Diceros bicornis minor: one gene and its partner. The protein of the gene in region 1 interacts with the protein of each later gene in a pairwise test. Links are inferred from orthologs where the notes say so. Each region holds a gene or a part of one and is shown on either strand. Other genes may lie near its edges.

Region 1 (7,846 bases):
GCTCTGCAGTGCCTGGGACACAGTAGGTACTCAATAAATACTTGAATAAGTGAGTGAACGAACAAACGAACAAGCCCCTGAACAGAAAGAGGGGGCTGGGAAAGTGCCAAAAACTCTGCAAAAACAATAAAAAATGACTCAGAGTTAGAAGATGCTAGAACAATGGTCTTAATGATCCCTTTCTAGAGTAACCCAAGAGCTGGGGAGAGGGAGGCAATGGAAGAGAAGGACAACAATATTTATTCATTCCACAAACATTAACTAAGCATTTATGATGTGCCAGGTGTTAGGAATAAACTTGAAAAGACATTGCTCCTCGCTTATGGAACTTAGTGGAAGAAACAGACTCCCAAAACTGTGAACAAGTAAATAAATTAAATTAGAAAAGTGAAAAGTGCTATGAAAAATGAAAGAGGAGGTGAACACTGGGACCCTCCCTTGCTTGGGTGGGCCTGACTGAGCTGAGGCCCCAAGTCAGGTGAGAGGGTCAGGGAGAACGTGCCCTGCAGAGAGAATGGTTTGGACTATACTCCACTCCCCCTCGCCAACTGTACCAGCCAAGAAAGGTTTAGGAGCCCAACCTTCTTGTGCTGTTGGAAGAGCATCTAACTGGGAGCCCAACTGTGCTGTACATTGGAGTCATCTAGGGAGCTATTAAAAATCCCAACCTCCAGGCCATACCCCATATCAGAATCAGAATGACTGGGGGTAGGAGCCAGGCATTAATATTTTTTAAAGATCCCCAGGAGATTCCATTGTGCAGCAACATTTGGAGATTATTGACATAAACATCTTTTTAATTGTGGTAAAATAAACATAACATAAAATTTACTTTTAACCATTTTTAAGTGTATGTTCAGTGGCATTAAGTTCATTGACATTGTTGTGCAACCACCACCACTATCCATCTCCAGAACTTTTTCATCATCCCAAACAGAAATTCTGTACCCATTAAACAATAACTCCCTATTCCCCTCACCCGCCTTGGCAACCATCATTCTACTTTCTGTCTCTATGAATTTGGCTATTCTAGGTATCTCATAAAAGTACAATTGTACAAAATTTGTCCTTTTGTGTCTGGCTTATTTCACTTAGCATAATGTTTTTAAGATTCATCCATGGTGTAGCATGTATTAGAATTTCATTCCTTTTTAAGGCTAAATAATATTCCATTGTATGTATAGACCACATTTTGTTTATCCATACACCCACTAATGGACATTTGGATTGTTTCCACTTTTTAGCTATTATGAATAATGCTGCTATGAATGTAGGTGTACAAATCTCTGTTCAAGTCTCTGACTTCAGTTCTTTTGGGTATTTGCCCAGAAGTGGGATGGCTAGGTCATACGGTAATTCTACGTTTAATTTTTTGAGGGGCTGCACCATTTTACATTCCCACCAGCAATGCACGAGGCTTCCAATTTCTCCGCGTCCTAGTCACCACTTGTTACTTTCTTTTTTTTTTTTTTGTGAAGAAGATCAGCCCTGAGATAACAATCTCTTTTTGCTGAGGAAGACCGGCTCTGAGCTAACATCTATTGCCAATCCTACTCCTTTTTTTTTTCCCCCAAAGCCCCAGCAGATAGTTGTATGTCATAGTTGCACATTCTTCTAGTTGCTGTATGTGGGACACGGCCTCAGCATGGCCAGAGATGCAGTGCATCGGTGCGCGCCCGGGATCCGAACCCCGGGCCACCAGTAGTGGAGCGCACGCACTTAACCGCTAAGCCACAGGGCCGGCCCAACACTTGGTACTTTCTGTGTTTTGTTTGTTTGTTTTCATAATAACCATCCCAATGGATATGAAGTGGTATCTCATTGTGGTTTTGATTTGCACTTTTTTTTTTTTTTAAAGATTTTATTTATTTATTTTTCCCCCAACGCCCCAGTAGATAGTTGTCTGTCATAGCTGCACATCCTTCCAGTTGCTGTACGTGGGACGCGGCCTCAGCATGGCCGGAGAAGCGGTACGTCGGTGCAATCCCGGGCTCCAAACCGGGGCCGCCAGCAGCGGAGCGCACGCACTTAACCGCCAAGCCACGGGGCCGGCCCTGATTTGCACTTTAATGATTAATAATGTTGAGCATCTTTTCATGTGCTTATTGGACATTTGTATATCTTCTTTGGAGCAATGTCTATGCAAGTCCTTTGTCCATTTTTAAATTGGGTTGTTTGGTTTTTTTGATGGGTTGTAGGAGTTCTCTATATATTCTGGATGTTAATCCCTTATCAGATACATGATTTATATGATATAAACATTCTTAAATGGTACACTAATTTGAAAGGGGTGGTTGCATTACAGTAACTTTTTTTTTACAAAACAAAAATGAAACACTCATAAGGAAAAAGACTGGAAGGATATACATCAAAATGTAATCAATTATCTCTGGTTAATACAAAGAATGATTTTTTTTATTGTTTTTTCCTCTGTGCTTTCTATACTTTCAAGTTTTCTGCATCAAACATGTATTATTATTATTATTTTGGTGAGGCAGATTGGCTCTGAGCTAATATCTGTTGCCAATCCTCTTCTTTTTGCTGAGGAAGATTAGCCCTGAGCTAATATCTATGCCCATCTTCCTCTATTTTTTATGTGGGACACCGCCACACATGGCTTGATGAGTGGTGCATATGTCCGTACCTGGGATTCGAACCTGTGAATGCCAGGCCACTGAGCATGCTAACTTAACCACTGTGCCCCCAGGGCTGGCCCCAAATGTGTATTATTTTTACAATTAGGGAAATTATCATCAAAATTATTGGTATTAAAGGTAGAGTCCCAGCAAACTTTTAAAAAGGAGGCTGTCGTTTTCAATGTAGTTACAACACTTATCGGGGGTCTCCTATGCACCAAGTATTCTCCAAGTTTCTGGTCTAGTAGATAAGCACCAGGCAACACAGTACAGCGTGGATGGGCTCTAATGGGGAACTCAGGACGCACAAAGGAACCAGAGGGGGCTGCCTCACCCACTGGCCAAATCTGGGACAATTTGAGGATTAAAACAAATAATGATAGTAATGAATTATAATCCACTCTACAAAATAAGAATCCTTTGAGTCCATACTGATAATAAACAAACAAACAAGTATGGGATAAGGAAATGCTCTTCCTCACAATAGAATGCCAACGAAATAAATGGAAAAGTAATGATCAATTTAGAAAAGTCATTTTACTCCCATCATAGTAATGATTGATTCAGGCAAGAATCATAAATAGATGCTAGAATTAGTGGGTCCAAATTTGATGAGGAACAGGATTTCAGATCAAAGTATCTCCCTACAGATTGCTTACTAATTACAAAAGAAAAATAAAGGTAACTTTACAGTAGAGAAACCTGGTGGACACCACTAAACCAAGTGATTGAAGTTAACATCACTAATAATGAGACAAATTGACATCATGTGCCTCTTGAGGCGATGTACTAAGAAGGACTAATAACATCATATCTGTAGTATTTTTGCCAAAAATGCATAATCTAAGTCTAATTATAAGGAAACATCAGACAAATCTAAACTAAAACACATTCTACAAAATAAATGGCCTGTACTCTTCAAAAAATGTTAAATGTTATGAAAGATTACAAAGGCTGAGAAACTCTCCAGATTAAAAGAGATATGAAAATTAAATACACTGCGTTGGCGCCAGCCCAGTGCCCCACAGTGGTTATGTTTGTCAGCTTCAGCAGCCTAGGGTTGGCGGGTTCAGATCCCAGGTGTGGACCAAGATACCACTCATCAAGCCGTGCTGTGGTAGCATCCCACATAGAAAATAGAGGAAGATGGGCACAGATGTTAGCTCAGCGCCAATCTTCCTCAGCAAAAAAGAGGAAGATTGGCAACAAATGTTAGCTCAGGGCCAGTCTTCCTCACACACACACAAAAATAATAAAATATATAACTATGCTGTATGATCCCGAATTGGATCCTAGACCAGAAAACAAATTTATATGAACAACATTATTGGGACAATTGATGAAATCTGAATAGGATCTGTACGTTAAATATAGTATTGAATCAACGTTAAATTTTTTATTTTAATGATTTTCCCATTTCTGATTTTCTGGTTATCTAAGCCAATATCCTTCTTTTTAGGAAATACACACTTAAGTATTTATGGGTAAAGGGACATGATGTCTGCAAACTACTCTCACATAGTTCAGGAAAAAGAATACATGTTTTATACATATGGAGAAAAAAATTAAAATGTGATAAAATGTTAATAATTGGTGTAATTGGTGAATTACAGGATTTAGGTATACAGGAATTCTTTATAGTATCCTTGGGATTTTTCTGTAAATTTGAAATCATTAAAAACAAAATTTAAAAATCACCCTTCAATCGTATCTCCACCATGTACCACCACAGATGCGATCTTAGATAAACGGTAAAATCGATCAGAACTTCTAGAAAGTAGCTATTAATACTCTCAGGGGATCATTCTTAAAAGGTAGACTAATTGACTACCTAAAAGAAGAGCTTTGTGCAAATATAGAGGGGCAAGAGGAGCTGGGATACCCCCTTCCGGACCCCCAAGGTCCCCAGACCTCAAAATGAAAGCGCAGGAAGGGGGTTGAGGAAAGACGTCGTCGTATAGAGTAGTCAGCCGAGGCCAGAGGAGCTTCAAGGCGTCAAATAGGGACTCTCCACACCTGAGCTGCCTCCAACTAAGTCAATCAGACCCGGGTATTTGAGGACGTGCCTCTGAGGCCTCAGCCTCAGTCTCTCCGACTCTCCCACCCCCTGCCGGGCTCTCCTCCCCCTAAAGGTGGACCTGAAACTTCGACACCTCGACTTCTGGGCCAGCCTCCATGGCCAGGTCCCGGGACTGCTGGACTGGGACATGGAGAAAGAGTCCTTTCTGGCCTTCACCACAGCGCACCTGCCCTTAGTGCAGCAGAACCGTGAGTCCCGGGGAAGGAGGGGGGCCGGAGGGGGGGGGGCGTGCCGGCGCGGTGGGGGGTGGGGGAGCTCGCGGGAGCGCCCAGGCCAGTGGGCCCCCCAGCCTTCGACCTCCTCCTTTCCCTGGCTGAGCCTGGTTGGCGGCGTAGAGCTTCGGGGTCCTGCGCCCCCTTTGCTGAGTCCCGGAGCCCCCTCCCCCACCCCCTCCTCGCCGAGTGGCAATTGGGCCGCCGCCTGGACTGCAAGCTCACAGAGGGCAGCGGTCCTGCCCAAACCCAGCGGCCTTCTTCTTGACCCAACCCGCCCAGCTCCGACCCAGAACTTTCTAGGCCTCTTCTCGGCTTTTCCTCCATGGCGCCTGGCGCTGTTTGGCACACTACATATTTTACTCATTTTTAAAAAATTTAGTTATCAATTTTGTTCGAGGCTCTATCCCCACCTGTTAATACATTGCCTGACACCTAGAGGTGCTCAATATTTGCTGACTGAATGGTTGACTTGTGGTCTTTAAAATTTTTTCTTTGGCCCTCAAGTGCAGAGAGCTGAGGTAATCACCTACATTCATGGTACTTCATTGCCATCTGTTTGGCAAGGTACTTGGAGTAACTCATTTTTCCCCTTCCTCCTCCACCCTCACTTCCATCACCTCCCACACGCCCATGTATTTACCCTAATCCATGCAATGTCTTTAGCTAAGTGTATCTTTGAAAACTATTTAGCATTATTTTGTATTCAGAGGTGACCTTAATTTACATAATGCTCAGCTTTTTTCCCCTACTCACATTGTTTTTGAGAGCTATTCTGGTTGCTAAAGGCAGATCTGGTTCATCATTTCTGACTGATGTTTAGTATTCTATCATCTGCATATACTTCCTTTTGCCTTTTAATTCTCCTTACTAATGGAGACCTAGATTGCCTCCTGCTCTTTGCCACCATAAGTAGTGCTGATGCACGTTCCTATATCTTCACTGATTCAAGAAATATTTATTGAGCACCTGCAATTTGCCAGGCACTGTTCTAGACACTCGTGAAGCATAATGAACAAAACTGAAAAGGCTGCGTGGAGCTTGCATTCTACTGGGGGCAGACAGACAACTCACATAAAAAATATGTTATAAGGTGATAACTGAGATAGGAGAAAGAGGAGACAGTAAGAGGTTTCTGGAATGGGTTGGGGGAGGAGGTGGTGGCAGCTATAGTTTTAAGTAGGGTCATCAGGTTGCACTTCACTGGGAACATATATTTGAGCAGAGGGCTGAAGGAGGTGAGATAGTGAGCCAAGAGGATATTTAGGGGAAATGTTTCCCAGGCAGAAGAAATAGCCAGTGCAAAAGCCCTAAGGAAGGAATATGCCTGGAGTGTTTGAGGAACAGTAAAGAGGCCAGTGAGGCTGGATTAAAGTAAATAAAGAGATTAGAGGGTGTGGAGCAGAGATCAGGAAGATCCACTTTAAGGATGTTGGGCTTGACTTTAAGTAAGAAGCAGCATGGTTAAAAGAGTTGGAGCAGAGGAGTGACATGATCTTCAGCGTCATGAGTATGCAGCCTGCTGTACAGTTGCATAGGGTGCCTATACTTGGTTTAATGCTCTACCATCACTGTCTTGAGACTTTTAATAACTTTTGAACAAAGAGCTCCACATTTTCATTTTGCACTGGGCCCTGAAATTTATGGAGCCAATCCTGCATGATCTATATTCTGAAAAGATCACTGTGGCTGCTGTAAATGTAGAGAGACTAGGAGCCTAGAAGCTGAGAGACTAGTTAGGAGGCTGCTTACAATCCAGACAAGAGATGATGGTCCAGTGGACCTCTAGGGTGGTAGCAGAGGATGTAGTGAGAAGGTAGAACTAGCTGGATTTGCTGATGGGTTTGATGTGTGGTGTAAGAAAGAGAAATTAGAGGATGACTTCTCTGAGTTTTTGATCAAGTGGAAGGATGGAGTTGCCTTGTACTGAGATGGGGGAAGCTTCTGGTAGGACAAGTTTAGGGATGAAGATCAGGAATTCTGTTCTGGACATGCTGAGTTTGAGATAGTTTTTAGATATCCAAGTAGACATGTTGAGTAAACAAGTGGATATATAAGTCTGGAGTTCTGGAGTGAGGTGTGGATTGTAGATATAAATTTTGACAGTCTTTGGTATATAGATGGCATTTAAGGAGTGAGAATAGAGAAGACAGAGAAGGACTAAGGATGAGCCCTGGGGGCAGTCCATTGTAAAGAGATTAGAGCGAAGATAGATAAATGGCAAAAACTGAGGAAATGACCATTGAGCATGAAAACTAAGAGAGTGTGTTCTCCTGGAAACCAAATCAAGAAAGTGTTTCAAGGAAGGCGTGGTCAGATGAGAGGAATGCTGCTGAGAAAACCAGTAAGAGGTAGACTGACAATTGGATTCAGCAAAGCAGATGATAGTGGTTTTGGTGGAGTGGTGGAGGCCAAAGCCTGATTGGCAAGGGTTTAAGAGTAGAAGGAGGGGAAGTGGAGACAAAGTATAGACAATTCTTCCAAGAAGTTCTGCCTCAAAGGAAAGCAAAAATATGGAGTAGTGGCCTGGCACAGAAAGTGGGGCAAAAGAAGTTGGTGTTTTTAATAAGATGAGAGAATTAACGAATGCTAATGAGAGTGAACCAATAGAGACAAAATTAATAACACAGGAAAGAGAGGAGAGTATTATTGGAACATTGTCCTTGAGAAGGCAACTGTACCAGAGAGGGAGGGAGGGAGACAGACAGAGGCACTATCCTTTGATCCCACTGAGACCGTCAATCTGTTGATCCTGTCACCCTTTCACTGCTCTCAATCACTGGATGTCCTCTCTTCTTTAACTAACTTGCAATCCCATGGTCAGATATGCTCATGCACTTGCATTCACCATCAATTCCTTTGACCCTCTATAGCTTTGGAGCACTTGCTTGGCCAAACCACAACCCTGATTAAATCCA
Region 2 (7,260 bases), on another chromosome or scaffold:
GAAGATCAATGGGTAAATGCTGTCCTATTTTGGCCTCTCAATTAAGGCCTTTAAATGTCTTCTGTCCATTGTATATTCACTTAAATTTAGAAGGGCATGGAGGTCTTGATGGCAGGGAAGCCCTGGCTCTCTGCCCAGGTGATGGGAACCATCTCCTCTGCTGCAGGACTGACAGCTCCTTCAGCTTCATGGCATTCTTCTTCACCTTCATGGCCCAGCTGGTCATCAGCATCATCCAGGCTGTGGGCATCCCAGGCTGGGGCGTCTGGTAAGAGACTGGGGTGTCTGGGACTGACCCAGGGCCAGCATGGGTGGCACCTTGGGCGTGTCCTTTGCTTTCCTCTGTGTGCTAAGCTGCATAGCCTGTGGGGACACCATGAGTTATTGAAGTGTGACAGGATTCAGGATAGTGTTGTAGACACAGCCATAGCATCAGAGGGGAAGGAGAACCTTGCAGTGGTTCTTGCAGTTTTTGGGGGTGCTGAGGGGTATCAGGCATCATGGGAGAACCTGAGAGAAGGAAGCCGTAAGTCTGAGCAGCTTGTCTTCTGAGCCGTGGGGAAGGGTTCTTCCTGAACCACTGACACAGGCCCTAGATATCAGTAAGATGGTCCCTTTGCATCCAGTGATATGGTCCCTCCCTGTGACAGTGAGATGGTCCCTTGCTCTAGTGGGGTGGCTCTGGGTACCTGTCACCATGGGGGGCAGCCCCACAGCTGGCCTCTTCCTGCAGTGGCTGGATCGCTACCATCTCCTTCTTCGGAACAAATGTTGGCTCAGCGGTGGTGATGCTCATTCCCACTGTCATGTTCACGGTCGTGGCCGTCTTTTCCTTCATCGCCCTCAGCATGGTACGTGGTCACCTCAAGGGTGAGAGGGTGGATTTGGGTCTGTGATCTGTTCAAGTTATAGGAGAACCCAGAGGTCTTCCAAGGGACTTACTCTGGAATGGCTTGGTGGACTTTGCTCCTAGTGCACAGGGCACGGGTAAGGAGGGAGGACTGGCTTTTACAGTGACTTGTCTCTGGCTCCCATGTCTTTCCTGGATGGCCTGCCTCTTCCCTTTGATTAACACTGCCTTGTGCTCCTCCTCTTACAGGTTCATAAATTCTACCGGGGCAGTGGGGGCAGTTTCAGCAAAGCTCAGGAGGAGTGGACCACGGGGGCATGGAAGAACCCGCATGTGCAGCAAGCGGCCCAGAATGCAGCCATGGGGGCGGCCCAGGGTGCCATGAATCAGCCGCAGACTCAGTATTCCGCCACCCCCAACTACACGTACTCCAATGAGATGTGAGCCAGCTGAGCCTACTGGGAGGCAGGGCTGGGGGCCAGTGGGACAGGGGCTCAAGCCACATCGTCTGTTGTGGTGACCAAGCAGGGTTCCCCCTTCCCTTTTCTCCTCCCCCACTTTGTACAAAGAATCAGAGTTATATATATATATATGTATATGTATATGTATATGTCTACCCCCTCACCCCCCAACACACACCCTTTGGATTCTGCTCTCAGCACTCTAAGAGCTGTGGGCTGTGAAGGGAGCTGTCCTGTGTGGTAGTAGCTGTGTCCGTGTCCCCCTGTGAAATAGTGTGCAGTGAAGGTCTCTGTTGTTGTGGTGCTAGATGTATGTTTAGAACTAAACCAGCCCTCCATCCTCCACCAGCCTGCCCCTTCTGACCTTGACCCAGGAACCCATCATGGGGCAGGGGGAGGCATAGCAAAGAGCCTGGCCCCCTCCCCAGGGTTATGAGCTGAAACTGTTTCCACTTTTGGTCTTACTGGGAAGCAACAGTATTTAGCACTCATGGGGGTGGTAGGTGGGAGTGTGGGACAGGCAGGGGATCTTCCTTTGCTCCTTCTTATCCGAGTCTCCTCCCCCTCAACCTCCTCCTCCCCTTCAACCACCTCCTCCTCTCCTCTCGTCCTGCTGTCAGATTCCCTGTGGTCTCTTCTCCCGCCCAGGGTCTCTCTCTTCCCTATGTGGCTTTTCTTTGTCTTCCCCAAGGCTGAGTGTCCCAGTTGTATCTGCTCCTGAGACTGAGCCCATTCCCAGATCAAGGAAGCAGACAGGGAAGCTGAGCCTTAGCCCTGATGTGAGAGGGCACATAGCCAGAGATGCAGAGCCCACCTGGGTACCTGACTCCCAGGGACTGGAAATGCAGGATCATCTCCTTGACTCTCAGAGCTTGTCCTGCAGCGGCAGGCTCCTCTTTTCGCTGCCCTGCTTCCCCTCCTTCTCTTCCCAGAGACCCTTTGAGCCCCTCTGCTTATGTCCCTCCCTGTACCCCCAGCTGCTGTGGCTTGATTCTTCTACCTTCCCCCACCACGTGCCCAGTGGTGTCTGCTGTCCACAAGGGCAGATTCCACTGCCTTCCCTGAAGAGCTGGATGGTGTCCAGGCAATTTTCAGGTATAAAGGTACAGCTGGAGCAGAGGGTATGTAAATAATTATTGGTCCCTGGGTGAGGTCTGGCTGGCCCAAGCCCTCTGGGCAGGTGCTAGGTATCTCTGAAGGACCATTGGATTCCTGGGAGCAGTAGCTGTTCTGTTTGGGTCTGGCTCAGAGGGCTGGGCCTGGAGGGGAGAGCAGAGAAGACAGGCAGGGCCCAGTGAGAGGGGAGCATGCCTCTGCCACCCCAGCTTGCTCTTGGTCACAGGGCAGTTCTGGGCATTTGAACTCAGGGCTCAGGGAGAAGCACAGGCCCAATCCTGTCCACAAGCACAATGGCCAGAATGGGATTTCAGGGTAGGTGGGGTGGGAGGGGAGGCTTTCCAGCTTTTTCTTCCTTTTTTTTTTTTTTTAATGAAGATTACTTGCTCCCCTCTGCCTACCAGACTTGGTTCTTGGCCCTTCCTCACCCTATCAGAACCCCTTTCCTTTCCAGCACAGTGATTTCAGGCCTGTGGGGCTGTTCTATTCCAAGCATCGTGAGAATGTTGCTGGTGGAGGCCCTGGCTCTCTCTGAGGCCTGTAGGGGAGTGGGTTCCTACCCAAGTAGCAGCTGCCTGTTTCCCACGCCCACTTCTACCTGGGCTATTTGGCCTGAAAACGAAACCCCACTTGGCCACTCTGGGCTGGCTCCAGCTTAGAACCCAACCCCTGGGCTTCCTGGTGCCATCCTGAGCTTTGGGCTGCAGGTACTTCACTTTCCTGTAAGAGGAGCCAGGATCTCCGGAAAGTTCTCTTCCTAATGGTCCCTTAGGCTTGGGCCAGAGTGTGATTGGCTCTCTCCTCTATCACTGTCTCTCTGGAAAGCAGTCACAGCCCCTAGTACCTGAAGAGAGACCCAGGTCTAGGCTCTTCCTCCACTTCCCTCTCCCCCACCCTAGACCCCTGGCTCCCTTTCTCTTAGTCTCTCTGGTCGCTCCAGGAGGCCTGTGATCCAGCTGCCAGCCCAACATCCATGACCTGTTGGATGCCACCTCCAGTCGATCTCCTGTCCTCTCTGCCTTTCCTCTTTCCTGGCTCAGACCTATATGGTCATGCCCTGGTTCTGCCCTTGGGAAGGCCTGCTACCTGTGTGTGCCCCAGCTTGTCCAGGCCCTGGGATGCTGCATCTCCAGGCAACTATGCACTTTCCAGGGAGGAACCAGTATGAGAAGTGGGGGCTGGGCACAGATTTAACTCTGCTGGATGGTCTGGCTTGGGGGTGGGGTGGAGGAAGGCCCAGGTCAGTTCTGGGAATCCTCAGGTCTGCAGCCAGCCAGTGACCTGCCTTTGCATTCTGCTGGTGCCCACTGCTCCTTGTTTCTGGGAGACACAGACCATTCTCCAATTGGCAGTTGACCTGCCTGAGCCAATGTGTCTGTCTGTGGTAACTGAGTGAATCATAATAAAGGGGAACATTTGGCCCTGCGTGTCCTGCTGTGTCATGTGTCTTCATGTGGGCCTGTGTGGAGCTTCACCATGGGCTATGGGGCACAGAGGTAGGGGGGTTGAGTGGGTCTGTGGCCTGTCATTCCCAGGGGCCAAAAGTCACACACCTCTGTGTGGTTCTTTCTCTGAGGCAACCTTGAGTAGGCCTTGAAATTGCCACAGAGGCCTCCTGCCTGTAGGAGGAGTTCTGAGTTCCCTGAGGAGGAAGTAGAAGGCTGGATCAGTGGGCAGGGGGGTGGTTTGCAGATGGGCCCTGCAAGCAAGGGCAAGGGTGGAGCACAGAGGGCCCCACCTCAGCTCTCATCGATGGAGACTGGCAGCTGATGGAGCAGCCTCTATGGAACACAAGGGGATCCAGAGGCCTGTGGATGCTGGAGAAGGAAGAAGGCAGGGAAGCATACCCAACGTGCTTTCTCTCGCTTTCCCTTTGCCAATGCCTGTCCTCCATTTGGAGTGCTGTCCTGGCACTCTAAGTTCCTGGTCATCCTTCAAGATTCACCTTGAATGACTCCTTCTCTGAGAGGGCTTCCCTGCCTCTAGTTGTTGCTTATTTTCCGCTGCTTCCTCATGGACCTTATTCTCTAATTTTCTGTGTCCCTGCTTGTCTCAAGAGCGGGGAAGAGTCCGATTTATCTCTGTATCCTGTGCACTTAAAACATAGAAGAGGCTCAGTAAATATTCAGTATTAAGTGCCGCAGTGATGAGCACTGTGTCTGTGTGGGATAGGGGTGGGCAGTGAGGAGGTCCGACAATTAGACCAGGCCCAAGCCAGAGCACAACAAAGACCAAGAACAGGACGCCAGGGTTTGCGTCAGGATTCCTCCGAGTGGACTACAATGACCAGGAGGAAGAGAAGTGGACTACAACTCCCAGAAGGCTGCACGAGCACGTACGCTGCCGGGGGCTCTTGTATCGTTGCCTGAGTGAATCAGCGGGAGGAGTGGCCGAGGTATCGCGATATTTGGGAGCCGCCCCGAGGCGCGCCTGGCGCGGGTGAGGAGTGGAGGGTTGCTGCCGAGTCTGGGTCTTCCCGGCGGGAGGGAGGTCGGAGAGTCTTCGTTCTAGACTTTGGCTCCGCGCGGCTGTGTGGGCGTGTATGTGATGTCACTTTTCGTGTGCATGTGTGTGTGTGAAACCTCACTTTGCTATCTGTGCCCATGAAGCTCTCCTCGCGACTGTGGGTCGGCAGCTATGTGTGTGATCTGCTCGAAACCGTGTGTGTGTTGTAGGGGCTGTAGAGCCTGTGGGACCTCGCTTTCCTACCTGTACGCGTGTCGCCAGAGCATTAGGGAGCCCTGCCCCGCTCGAGCCTGAAGCGGGGAATTTGTATCTGCGCGCTCCCATCCCGGCTTTGTGCTGCTCTGCGATTGTCCAGTGCCTTTGAATCTAGTGTAAAAGGTGGCCCCATCAGTTCCCCACACCTACTGCTTGCCTGTAAAAAAAATTATGAGCCTACTTCGACAAAGGAATAGGGGCTGCCCAAAGTACAAACTATGTTTGAAAATAGGTAAAATAGAAAAACGAAAGCCCTGGAATGCTGCAATTATCCCCTAGAACCACCTCAAAGTGTTGAATGGCATTTAAAAATTAGGCCAGATTTTGTCAGAGAAAAACTTTGTGCTGTCCTTTGAAGTATTGGAGGCCTATGCCAGATGACGGGCAAGAGAGATTCCCATTCCTGGGGAAGTGGTGGGTGTGTTGGGAGCAGGGGTTTTCCACATCTCTCCCAGTGGCTGAGGTGTCAGTACTCCGTTGCTCCCTCGCTAGTAGCCCGTGTGTGTGAACATATATATATATCCTGATACGTGGCCATGAGGAGGGCTGCCTAACGGCATTACAGGAGCAGCAGAGTCAAGCATGCTTGCCTCTCGTTTGAGAGACGAGCAATCTTAGGAGAATGCCAAGGCCTGGAGCTCTCCTGAAGAGGTCCTTGCCTTTCTTTTGGGGAAGGGGTTTAAAGTGCCCCTGTGGCCATGGGACTCCTTTTAATGACTTTGGATTGGGGGGCAGGGTGACACTTTAGGGAGCTACAAGCGGTTCATTATTACTGGGACAGAGAGTAGGCGGTGTTGAGTGGTGGGAGGTGAGGCCAGAGCAGAAGTCTGGGGCCGGTAGTGAGGGGCTTTGTCATTAGGCTAAAGGATTCAAGCTCTTAATGGATCCTGGATCCCTCCCCATCCCCCTACCCCCCGCCCCACACCCACACCCCGGAGTTTGATTCTATCTTGTCCTAGGCCCCAGCCCCTCCTTCCTGCGTTGGGCTGGGCTCATACCCTGTCTGGTCCTTTTTTAGCTCTAGTTCTGTCCTGGCTCCACAAGTGCCCATATTGTGACTGGCAGGTATTCCTGAAACTTTTACTTAACTCTGCCCTAATTAAACTCTTTAGAGAAGGAAATTTACACATCACAAGCCTGCCACAAGCTGGGGCTCTTTATCTGGCCCTGTCTTTTTTTTCTTTTTTAATTAATTTATTTTTCCCCCCAAAGCCCCAGTAGGTAGTTGTATGTCATAGCTGCACATCCTTCTAGTTGCTGTATGTGGGACGTGGCCTCAGCATGGCCGGAGAAGCGGTGCGTCGGTGCGTGCCCAGGATCCGAACCTGGGCCGCCAGCAGCAGAGCGCGTGCACTTAACCACTAAGCCACGGGGCTGGCCTGGCCCTGTCTTTCTAAAGGAGAGAGAAGCTGCCATTTTTCTGGCTGTGGCTTACCTGCATGGCTGGTGCCCTGGGAGCTTGAGGCTCAGTAATCACAGCCCTATGACCTCTCTGCCTGCCAACTCTTTCTGCTACTTAAAAGTTCCTATGAGTCCAGCAGAGCCCAGGGAAATAAATGAGGTGCTGTCTACAGCTACCTTGGCTGTGCAAATAGATGGTTCTAACAGGAACTGGATAGAGTAACAGACTTCCTAGTTTGGGATTTGATCTTTTTTGAGAGTAAACAGAGAACTCCTACGGGCTGTCACTCTCCATGGAACTGTCAGATTGAACCAATTTGACCTTGCTTTCAAATGTTCATTAAATTATCCACTTTCTATTCCTCAAGTGCATATGTCTCCCCACCCCACCCCCACCCCTTCTAGAAAGGTAAATAGGCTTTGGTCCTTAGCAGTGCATGCTCAGTAGGCTGAATCTTGGGCTGTACCATCTACTGTAGGGAAGTAGTTGAAGTTACCAACATGGATTCCTGCCCCAAGTTTAACTGCTTTCAGTAACCTATTCCTTAGAATGAGATCAGCTTCATGTGGCGGAGGTTCAGGGGCTGCGGAGGTGAAATTCAGCTTCTGGTTTTGCAGGAATCTCCCTATCCTAGCACCAGTTGGCTAGGGTGGGACGGGGTCAAGGTTTGAGATCTGGCAGGTAGGTTTCCCTGGAGAGTCAATGTGCCT

The links. The genes of interacting proteins can lie anywhere in the genome.
Region 2: the proteins of FOXR1 (region 1) and PPCDC interact in binary tests that used the Homo sapiens proteins (3 or more experiments, as listed by UniProt). The two-hybrid records come from large-scale screens. The link is inferred for Diceros bicornis minor from reciprocal best matches to the Homo sapiens genes FOXR1 and PPCDC.

Annotation. Positions count from the first base shown.
Region 1 is NC_080746.1:18,002,991-18,010,836, reverse strand, and holds the start of FOXR1 (forkhead box protein R1), read left to right. Parts: upstream 1-4,828; 5' UTR 4,829-4,843; coding exon 4,844-4,904; intron 4,905-7,846. UniProt on the Homo sapiens protein: Transcription factor which acts as both an activator and a repressor.
Region 2 is NC_080744.1:67,901,086-67,908,345, forward strand, and holds the start of PPCDC (phosphopantothenoylcysteine decarboxylase), read left to right. Parts: upstream 1-4,248; 5' UTR 4,249-4,866; intron 4,867-7,260. Other genes in the region: SCAMP5 (secretory carrier-associated membrane protein 5), read left to right, coding at 167-268, 734-851, 1,100-1,294. UniProt on the Homo sapiens protein: Catalyzes the decarboxylation of the cysteine moiety of 4-phosphopantothenoylcysteine to form 4'-phosphopantotheine and this reaction forms part of the biosynthesis of coenzyme A.